Caenorhabditis elegans: one gene and its partner. The protein of the gene in region 1 interacts with the protein of each later gene in a pairwise test. Each region holds a gene or a part of one and is shown on either strand. Other genes may lie near its edges.

Region 1 (4,673 bases):
GTTTCCACCAATTTCTTTCAAGTTTTCTTTACGAAGAAATATCTCTGAAAATCGAACGAACAATAATTTATTATTTCAAATCAAATATCAAAATAATAATAATAATATTTTTATTGATTAATTTAGCCAGAAAAAGGCAAAAATATCGGATCTAGAACATTCATTCGGCAGTTTCTCTGATTTTTTTGCAGAATTAAAAAATCAGAAGAAATTTAAATTTGTTCTCAATGAGTTTTCTGGAAAATATATCTTTCAAGTCACTTTTTTTCAGGAGCCCGCCGTCACGCTCACGACAACTGGAACACCATTCGATACCGATACATTCACATTTTCGTCCGTCTAGAAGAAGGTCCGGCTCCACAGCAAAAACAACGTCATCCACAGAAAAATGGTTGGGATCATATGGACGAGTACTACAATTATCTTCGCTCTCGAACCGTTAAATATAGTATTTAGGAACTTTTTTAGACAATTTTTTCGTTTTTTTTTGTTATAATTTTTGTTGATCGATTGGTAAAATTTTTTTTAAAAATGAGTTTTTTATTCATAGAAATTTATGTGAATACTGTTTTTTACCGTAATCTCTTAAGTAAGGGCTGGGGGAGAACAATGAGATACAACAATTTTCAAATTATGCGAATCGTTTTGGCCAATGGGGAAAGAGAAATTTGGGAAGGAAGGGTTATAGGAAAATATGTACAATTTTTCAATTAAAAATTAGTCGGAGAGCTCGCCAATCGCGATTTTGAACTTTTTGAATTGAGCACTGAACCAGCTTTTCGCCGCCTCGATCGTCTCCTCAGCTTGCCATTCTTTGGCTTTTCGGTTGACAAGATCCTTGAATTGAGCCCACATTTCTTTGAGTTTTGTCAGTGTACGGCACTTCCAGTCACAGTTCTGAAAAAGGTTAAGGTATTGGATCTTTGATATGAAAAATTGTGATATTTTCCGAGAGGAGCACACAATTTTAATACTATTTTTATTATTAAAAAAAAATAATTTTCAGCCAAGAAAACTTGTTTAAGGTATTTCAAATTTTCAGGGAAAACTCCAATTTTAGCTTATAAAAATTTAAATTTGTCGGAAAAATTTATTTTTGAGAAAACGTTAGAATTTTCAGGTGAAAAATTCAATTTTAGGTTAAAAAAATCATGTTTTGTTGAAAACTTTCAAATTTTCGGTAAAATGTAAAGGAAAAATTGCAAATTTTAAGTAGAAAATTCAAGTTTCTGGAAAAAAATCCAATTTTTAATTTTTTAGGAAAATGTAAATATTTTAAACCAATTTGCACTTTAGTAACTATTCCGAGTGTCATTTATTGAAAATTCTGGAAAAATTCGATTTTTCGCGTTTTTCGTTTTTTTTAATCGTTTTTATATTATACCGCAAAAAATAATGTTGTGCCATGAAAAATCGGTTCTTCAATTTTTTTTTTGAAAATATCGAAAAATCAAAATTTTTCGTATAATTTTGTACATTTTTTTGTTGATTTTTCGGAAGAAAATGTCTTATTTTCCCTGATTTCCCATAATTAGAAAAAAAAACCAAAAATCGAAAATTTTCGCTTTTCTCTGAAATTTGGTAGTACTGTTATTTTTTCTATTTTTCAAATCTTTTTCGCGAACCTTATCAAGATTATCACACTGCAACGGCTTCTCATTATCACAATCCGACAAAACTGGAATATCCTTGTGCAAATGCACCAAATCGGAGCAATTCAACCGAGTATTTCCCTGCACATCAATTCCCTGAAGATCTGGGAATGATGCTTTGATCATGCTAATCGCCGGAATTGTGTCAATGTCATTGCAAGTGAGTGCCAGGAAATGGAAACCGCGAAGTGGTGATGAATGGGGCAATGGGAAACGATTGAGACCAACGCCATCACATCTGATCACTGGATCATGTTCTGACAATTCACACGTACATCCGTCCAGGCATGGAACTGATCGGCAGGCAACTGAACATTTTGGAATTTTAGATTTATTTTAACTAGAATGTATTAATTGTTTTATGTGTTTATTTCGTTAATAGGCACTAATCAGAAAATAAAGACGGAGAAGAATTTTTGCTTTAAATGCTAGAAAATATACTTTTTAAATAATTTTCTAAATGTTTTCAGTTTTTTTAAATTAATTTTTCAACTACTAGATGTTCTTTTTTAATTCGGCAGTATTCATTCATTTTTCGGAAGCAAATTCCATTCCATTGATTGACTTTTACAATTGTTCATTCAATTTTTTACATGACTCACATGAATTCACTATGATGAGTAATTCAAAAAACAATCCAAACTAGATTCTAGATTCCCAGAGTTCACTTTTTAATGTATCATCTCTCAATTCACGATGATGTGTCATAAAATAGCCGCTATGTTTGTATAGAGACTCCGTTCGTGTAATGTTGCGTAATTAAAAATCGTATATACGCATACATAGACGGTGATGATTAAGATTACAGGTTCTTAGCTTGTAAAATTGAAAAAATGACGTGTTGTAATTAAATACAACTTTAAAAATGCCTATGAAGATCCAAATTGAAATCGCGAAATTTGAATACGATTCAGAAATTAGTGGCTTTTAAAATCATGTTTTAGGATAGAGAGTTTCGGCTTCAAGAATAAGTTGTATAATGTTAATGAATTAAAAATGAAATACCTAGTAAAAAGTTACAGCAAATAATTTCCCGCAAAATTACTTGAAGATGGTCTCTTTTCTATGATATTTTTTGTGAGAAATTTTTGTATAGTTATGCATGTGATATTGTTGTATAAATTGGATTTGCTTTTTCGATGTATTAATTTTTTTTAAACTATGTATATTACCTGCCACAAAGAGGAGAAGAAGAAGAAATGCAGATGTGATGGAGGTCATGCCTAAACGAAACAAAAATGAAATATATATCCAGAAGGAGTGTATTGGAAAAGCAAACAGAGACCCAAAGAGTGGACATGGCACATTCAAACAAACAATGGAACAAAATGATTGTTGGGCATTTTGGATGAGAGAGTGATTCATATCAATAGAGACGCAGATGTGAAAGGAGAAGGGGTGGTTTAATCGATTTGGATGGGGGTCCGGTTAGTTTACAACCACAGTTTACAGCGTAGAGGTACTTGAAGTGGAATGCCATTTTTTTTTATGTTAATGGGATTTTAAGGTATTTAATTTGAAAATTTTGAATGGTCAAAAGCAGGGGTAAAAAATTCCGGCAAATCGGCAAACCGGCAAATTGCCAATTTGCCTAAAATTTTCGTCAAATTGTGGTTTTGCACATTTTTTTTTGGAAATTTCAGAATTTCAATTTTATCGGCAAGATTGTACGCATCCTATGAATGTTCCTACATCTATTTTGAAAATTAAGGAAATTCTATGAAAATATCTATAGAAAACGGGAAAACATTTCAAAAAGGCAGTTTTAAGTGCTTCCGACTTATAAAATAATCCCTTTAAAAACTTCCGGAAAATTGATATCCGGCAAATCAGCAGTTTGCCGATTTGCCGAATTTGTCGACAAAACAATTTGCCGAACGGCAACCCACCCCTGCAGGGCCCTGCTCAAAAGTACTACGATTAAATTATATAAAATCGACTTTAATTACCGAATTTAGGAATAATGATTTCGATTTAAAATACCCAAATTAGTCTGAAATTCAGAAATTCCACAACTTGAGTAAGCCTAAAACCTGAAATCTAAAAAATTTTTCCACGAAATTTGAGATTTTTGATGCTCCAGGAAACCTTTAGCCTGAGGAATAAAGAATATTTATTGCGTTTTTTTTGGAAAAGCGGGGTAGAAGAAGAAGAAGAAGAAGCGGATATGTGTGAGCAATGAAGAGGAAAAAAGCACATGACACCGAATAGTTTGGAACAAAACTCCATTTATCATGTCCAGCGTACCTCCTGACGGATAAAAAGAACGATATATGACGCATCGCTGGTTTTTCTTTTCGTCTTTTCATGTTCTGCACGGGATACCGGTTCTCTTGTGGAAACACGAGAATGCATGCGCCGCGGGAAAGAAGGGAAAATGTCAGAAATCACAAAACAAATCAAAATAAAAAATAAAAAATCGTTCGAGAGGAGTCCGCAGCGCATGGCCTAGCGACGGGGGATTCTCGTCCGTGTACTTCGAGAGGAAAACTTTTTTATTCAAAATTTTATTCTGAATTTCAATTTTTCTCTTTAAAAACCTTGAAATTTCAGGGAAATCTCAAATCAAATGCAAGCCATTCATGAAAATTATACAGATAATCCATCGTCATCAATAACAAGGGAAAGGCAGCATGAAGATATGAAAGGCGCCCAATTTGTGGTCCAATCCAATCTTAAAAGTGACTTTTTCTGGGTTTTAGCCGGATTATTTATTTATTTTTCTTTCAGTTATGTCAAGATCCATCGCAGCGCTGAGCAAAATCTCTGAAGACGTGTTAATTGAGGTTTCCGAAGGCGGGGTGAGTCAAAAGTCAAATTTCGGCTAAAAAATTATTTTTTTGTTTTTTTCCAGCTCTTCTTCAAAACAGTGAACCGTTCAAAGTTCTGCGTGTTCCGCTTTGCACCAGAATTTTTCAACGCTTGCGATGTATCAATGATTAACAAAAAAGCAGTGAATATTTGCAGATTATCGATGAAAGTGGGGAGAAATCTCAGAAATTTCGGCAAAAATTTAATTTT
Region 2 (4,736 bases), on another chromosome or scaffold:
ATGACCGAGAATTTGCTCGCCGAACGTCACGCCCTCCGATGGGTTTTTCTGTACGAGTTCCCCCAAATCTGCAATTGCAACGAAACTCGTCGTAACATGTGTGCAGTGTTAGGCAAGAACTCTGTCACCTATAATACCATGAAGTTTTGGTTCGAAAAGTTCACGAAAAAGAACTACGATCTCGATGATAAACCAAGATAAGATCGCTCTCGTTTGAATATCGACGAGGATATTTCGAGAGCCCTGGAAGATGATCCAAGAGCAACGAACCGCGAACTTTCTGCGACTCTCAAGCATCCCCAAAAAACCATCATCAACCATCTCCACGAAACCGGAAGGGTAGAAAAGTTCGGTCAACTCGTTCCTCACAATTTGCCCGATTCTCAGAAAAATTGTTTTGTGACCTCTCTCTTTCGCTGCTCACTAGGAAACGAACAACGGACTGGGTTAAGGATATCATTACTGGAAATGATAAATGGGTATTGTATGTTAGCCATACCAGGAAAAAAGAGTGGGTCCCGGTCGAGGAAACCGCGACACCTGACCTCAAATTAGAACTTCACGGAAAAAGTGCTTCTCTCAATTGGGCGGGACAGTAAGGGTGTCATTTCCAGAGAGCTTCTTCCAGACTTTGCTACAATCAACGCTGGCCTATACAGCATTTAATTGGAAAAGATGGTCCATGCTCATCGATTACATCGCCCTAGAGGATCAAAGTTGTTGCTGCTCCATGACAACGCAAGACCGCATACAACTTTTAAGACCCGCCAGAAGCTCCAGACAGTCGGAATCCAAATTTTGTCTTACCCATCGTATTCGCCGGGCTTGGCTCCTACTGACTACCATCTGTTCCGCTCACTCCAGAATCACCTTGCCGGGCAGAAGTTTCATGATCGAAAGGTCGTCGAAACGGGGTTGGACGACTTCTTTGCCTCCTAATCGCAGGAGTTCTAGGCGGAGGGTACTGTTCAACTTCCGTTGTGTTGGCAAGAAGTCATAGGCATTAATGGTAAATATATTACCCATTGAATCTTGTTCGCTTTGAAAAAATACTACTTCCAAAAAAAATCAAAATTTTGCAAAGACTTTTCGACCAACCTAATATATGTAAGTTCATCTTTTGATAATTGCCCTCGGCGAAAATTTTCGAAAATTGTCTGCCAAATGCTCGGTTTCCTATCATATTGCGCAATTTTACGTAACTTTTACAAGTACATATAAAAGATTTGCAAGCCATCTATCCGTCAATACGCAGCAGCAGCATTTCCTTGATCTTTTGGGCTTTTGAGCTTTAAGTGCTCTTTGAGTTTTTTTTTAAATTGAAAGCTTTGAATAGAGAAAAGAAAACTTTATGAGAAAAAAATTAGAGCCAATAAAAAAAATAAAAAATTCCTGCCTGTGTGCCTACCAGGCAACCGCAGTAAAAAAGGCGGAGGCCACCTTTACGGCATGTTACGCCTGCCTTAATGGCACAAAGACAGAGAGTTTTGTAACTGCAAAAAGTTATTTATTTGAATAAATTCTTTTTGGTCAACTCTATTTTTTTACAGTAACTTGAATATTTCAGAGATGTCAAAATATTTGACATGGATCTATTAAAAATGATGACTTTTGCAAATATATAGTCATCATAATACCATCAACTTTCACAGTTCACATATTTCTTATCAATTGGAATGGTTAGTACGTACAACTGATAATAATAGTTTCGTTTGCATATACATAATTTCCAATTCTTCTTTTCGGTTTATTTTTGATACTTGTTAAATGATTACTATAACTTTTAAAATAAAAAATTAAACTCTGAAATTCATTTTAATTTCAGCTTTAAAAATGTTGTTACGGATACTCACATTTCTTGCTGTTTGCCAAGTGACTACCTCTCACAAAATCCTGATGTTCTCGCCAACTGCAAGCAAGTCACATATGATCTCACAGGGAAGAATCGCAGATGAGTTGGCGAATGCTGGACACGAGGTTGTGAATTTCGAGCCAGATTTTTTGAATTTAACAGACAAATTTGTGCCATGCAAAAAGTGTAGAAGATGGCCAGTTACTGGATTGAATAACTATAAGTTCAAGAAAATTCAAAATGGTGAGTATTTAAAAATTGATTTTTCACTGATGTTTCTCGAATTACCCAGTAACTTCAAGAAGAGCAAAACTAATTTTTTGTTGAATTTTGTGCCGCCTTAAAAGTTTCGGTAAATCATTTGACAAGTTTCACACAAAAATTCAGTCTTTTGGAATATTTTGAGTGATAAAACGCTAAATAATCTGTACTTATTAGGTACTAAAAATTTATTTTCAGGGTTATCTGGAGACGTATTCCAACAATCTTCAATTTGGAGCAAAATTTTCAATACGGATAGTGATCCATATCAGGATGAATACACAAATATGTGCGAAGGTATGCTCTAAACTGAATTCAAATTTTACTGTATTTTCCGGTTCAGAAATGGTAACGAACAAAGAACTTATCGAAAAACTGAAAAAAGAAAAGTTCGATGCATATTTCGGTGAGCAGATTCATTTGTGTGGAATGGGGTTGGCTCATCTTATAGGCATCAAGCACAGGTTTTGGATTGCCAGGTATTGGTTTTGGTTTTTTAAACTAAAAAGAACATTAAGATTTTCAGTTGCACAATGAGCGTTAGTATGCGTGATAGTCTCGGAATTCCAACGCCGTCCAGCTTGATACCCTTCATGTCAACATTGGACGCTACCCCGGCTCCATTCTGGCAAAGAGCCAAGAACTTTGTGCTCCAAATGGCACATATTAGAGACGAATATAGGGATGTTGTACTGACAAACGATATGTTTAAAAAGAACTTTGGGTAAGAATTTGGGAGATAATTACGTTTAATTAAATAATTTCTACAGATCTGACTTCCCATGTGTCGAATTCTTGGCAAAAACTTCTGATCTTATATTTGTTTCAACAGATGAACTTTTGGAAATTCAAGCTCCCACTCTTTCGAATGTTGTACACATCGGAGGGCTTGGCTTGTCAAGTGAAGGAGGTGGCTTGGACGAGGTTAGTAGAATCTTTCAAACTTTCTTAAAGGCTTCATATATTCAGAAATTTGTGAAAATTATGGAAAAAGGAAAAGGAGTGATTTTATTCTCATTGGGGACAATTGCCAACACTACTAATCTACCACCAACTATCATGGAAAACTTAATGAAGATCACTCAAAAATTCAAAGATTATGAGTTCATAATTAAAGTTGACAAGTTTGATAGAGTAAGAAAATTCCTATAAATCCAAGAAAACTCCCATTTACTCATTTTCAGAGAAGTTTTGATCTTGCTGAGGGACTCTCAAATGTCCTCGTCGTGGATTGGGTTCCCCAAACCGCAGTTCTTGCTCATCCAAGACTGAAAGCATTCATCACACATGCTGGTTACAACAGTTTGATGGAATCTGCCTATGCAGGTGTTCCAGTTATTCTTATTCCATTTATGTTTGATCAACCAAGAAATGGACGGTCTGTCGAGAGAAAAGGATGGGGAATTCTGAGAGATAGGTTCCAGTTGATTAAAGATCCAGATGCGATTGAGGGAGCTATCAAGGAGATTCTCGTTAATCCAACGTTAGTTTTGAACACTTTTTTGAGCACGTCTAAAATTTGTGCTTTACGCTAAAATACTAGAAAAATCGTGCTGATAATTGCTGATAGTTGCGGTAGATTAAATTAATTCTAGTTCCGCCTAGGTGTGTGCGGCAAATTTGCCAAAATTGCCGAATTCACCTAGCTCGCCTAAATTTGAGAATTGCCGCACACCCCTGGTTCCGCCGAAGCTAGTTTTTTGAAGGCCATTTTTGAGGACCATATTTAAAAGAACGTGTATTTCATCCATTTTTTCTAGAAACTTCAAAAATAAAACAATCACCTCTAATTTCATTTTCAGATACCAAGAAAAAGCAAACCGTCTGAAAAAGTTGATGCGTAGCAAGCCTCAATCGGCATCTGAAAGACTGGTTAAAATGACAAATTGGGTGCTGGAAAACGACGGTGTAGAAGAATTGCAATACGAGGGAAAACATATGGACTTTTTCACATTTTACAATCTTGATATCATTATTACTGCAGCTTCGATCCCAGTTTTAATTTTTATTGTTCTTCGAATTTCAAACATTAGTATTATTACGAGTAGCCCAAAAAATAAGAAAGATTAGGTAAATTATTGTTAATTAATAAATGGTAAAAAAAATAAAACAACTTTAAACATCATTTCGAAAAGTTCAAAAGGCATTTTTGAAGGGATCCGAATTCCGAAATCAAGTTTTGTGGAGTGTCCGTTGTGAGAATTACACCATTCTCAATTACAACGACTCTGAAAATAAAGTTTCTTCTGGAGCATATCTAGTTATTGTTTAAAAAATTATGAAGTTTCTAGTTTTCTCAAAAAAAATATTTGATTAAAGATACTCAAAATGGTCTAAAGTGCTGAATTACAATAAAATAAAAATTTAAAAATAGTGAAAGAAAAGATATTCTAGGGTGCGCGGCAATCGGAAATTTCCGGCAATCAGCAATTTCAGCAATTGCAGGTTTTGGAAATTTCCGGCAATCCGAAATTTCAGCAATTGCCGGCTTTGGAAATTTCCGGCCATCGACAATTTCGGCAATTGCCGGTTTTGGAAATTTTTGGCAATTGCCGAAACTGCCGAAATTGCCGAAAATTCGAATGCCGCACGGCAATTGCCGTGCACCCCTGAAACTAGTTGC

Evidence for each region.
Region 2: the proteins of lron-10 (region 1) and ugt-48 interact in a two-hybrid assay, tested with the Caenorhabditis elegans proteins (one large-scale study listed by BioGRID).

The regions. Positions count from the first base shown.
Region 1 is NC_003281.10:10,617,336-10,622,008, forward strand, and holds lron-10 (eLRR (extracellular Leucine-Rich Repeat) ONly), read right to left. Parts: upstream 2,876-4,673; 5' UTR 2,874-2,875; coding exon 2,825-2,873; intron 1,961-2,824; coding exon 1,626-1,960; intron 898-1,625; coding exon 718-897; 3' UTR 531-717; downstream 1-530. Other genes in the region: mrpl-22 (Large ribosomal subunit protein uL22m), read left to right, coding at 272-456; Cell cycle checkpoint protein hpr-9, read left to right, coding at 4,222-4,333, 4,383-4,453, 4,507-4,632.
Region 2 is NC_003283.11:5,545,152-5,549,887, reverse strand, and holds ugt-48 (Putative UDP-glucuronosyltransferase ugt-48), read left to right. Parts: upstream 1-1,825; 5' UTR 1,826-1,833; coding exon 1,834-2,095; intron 2,096-2,311; coding exon 2,312-2,410; intron 2,411-2,456; coding exon 2,457-2,592; intron 2,593-2,639; coding exon 2,640-2,837; intron 2,838-2,883; coding exon 2,884-3,037; intron 3,038-3,082; coding exon 3,083-3,247; intron 3,248-3,297; coding exon 3,298-3,596; intron 3,597-3,915; coding exon 3,916-4,183; 3' UTR 4,184-4,219; downstream 4,220-4,736. Other genes in the region: cft-1 (Cystic Fibrosis Transmembrane conductance regulator homolog), read right to left, coding at 4,236-4,341.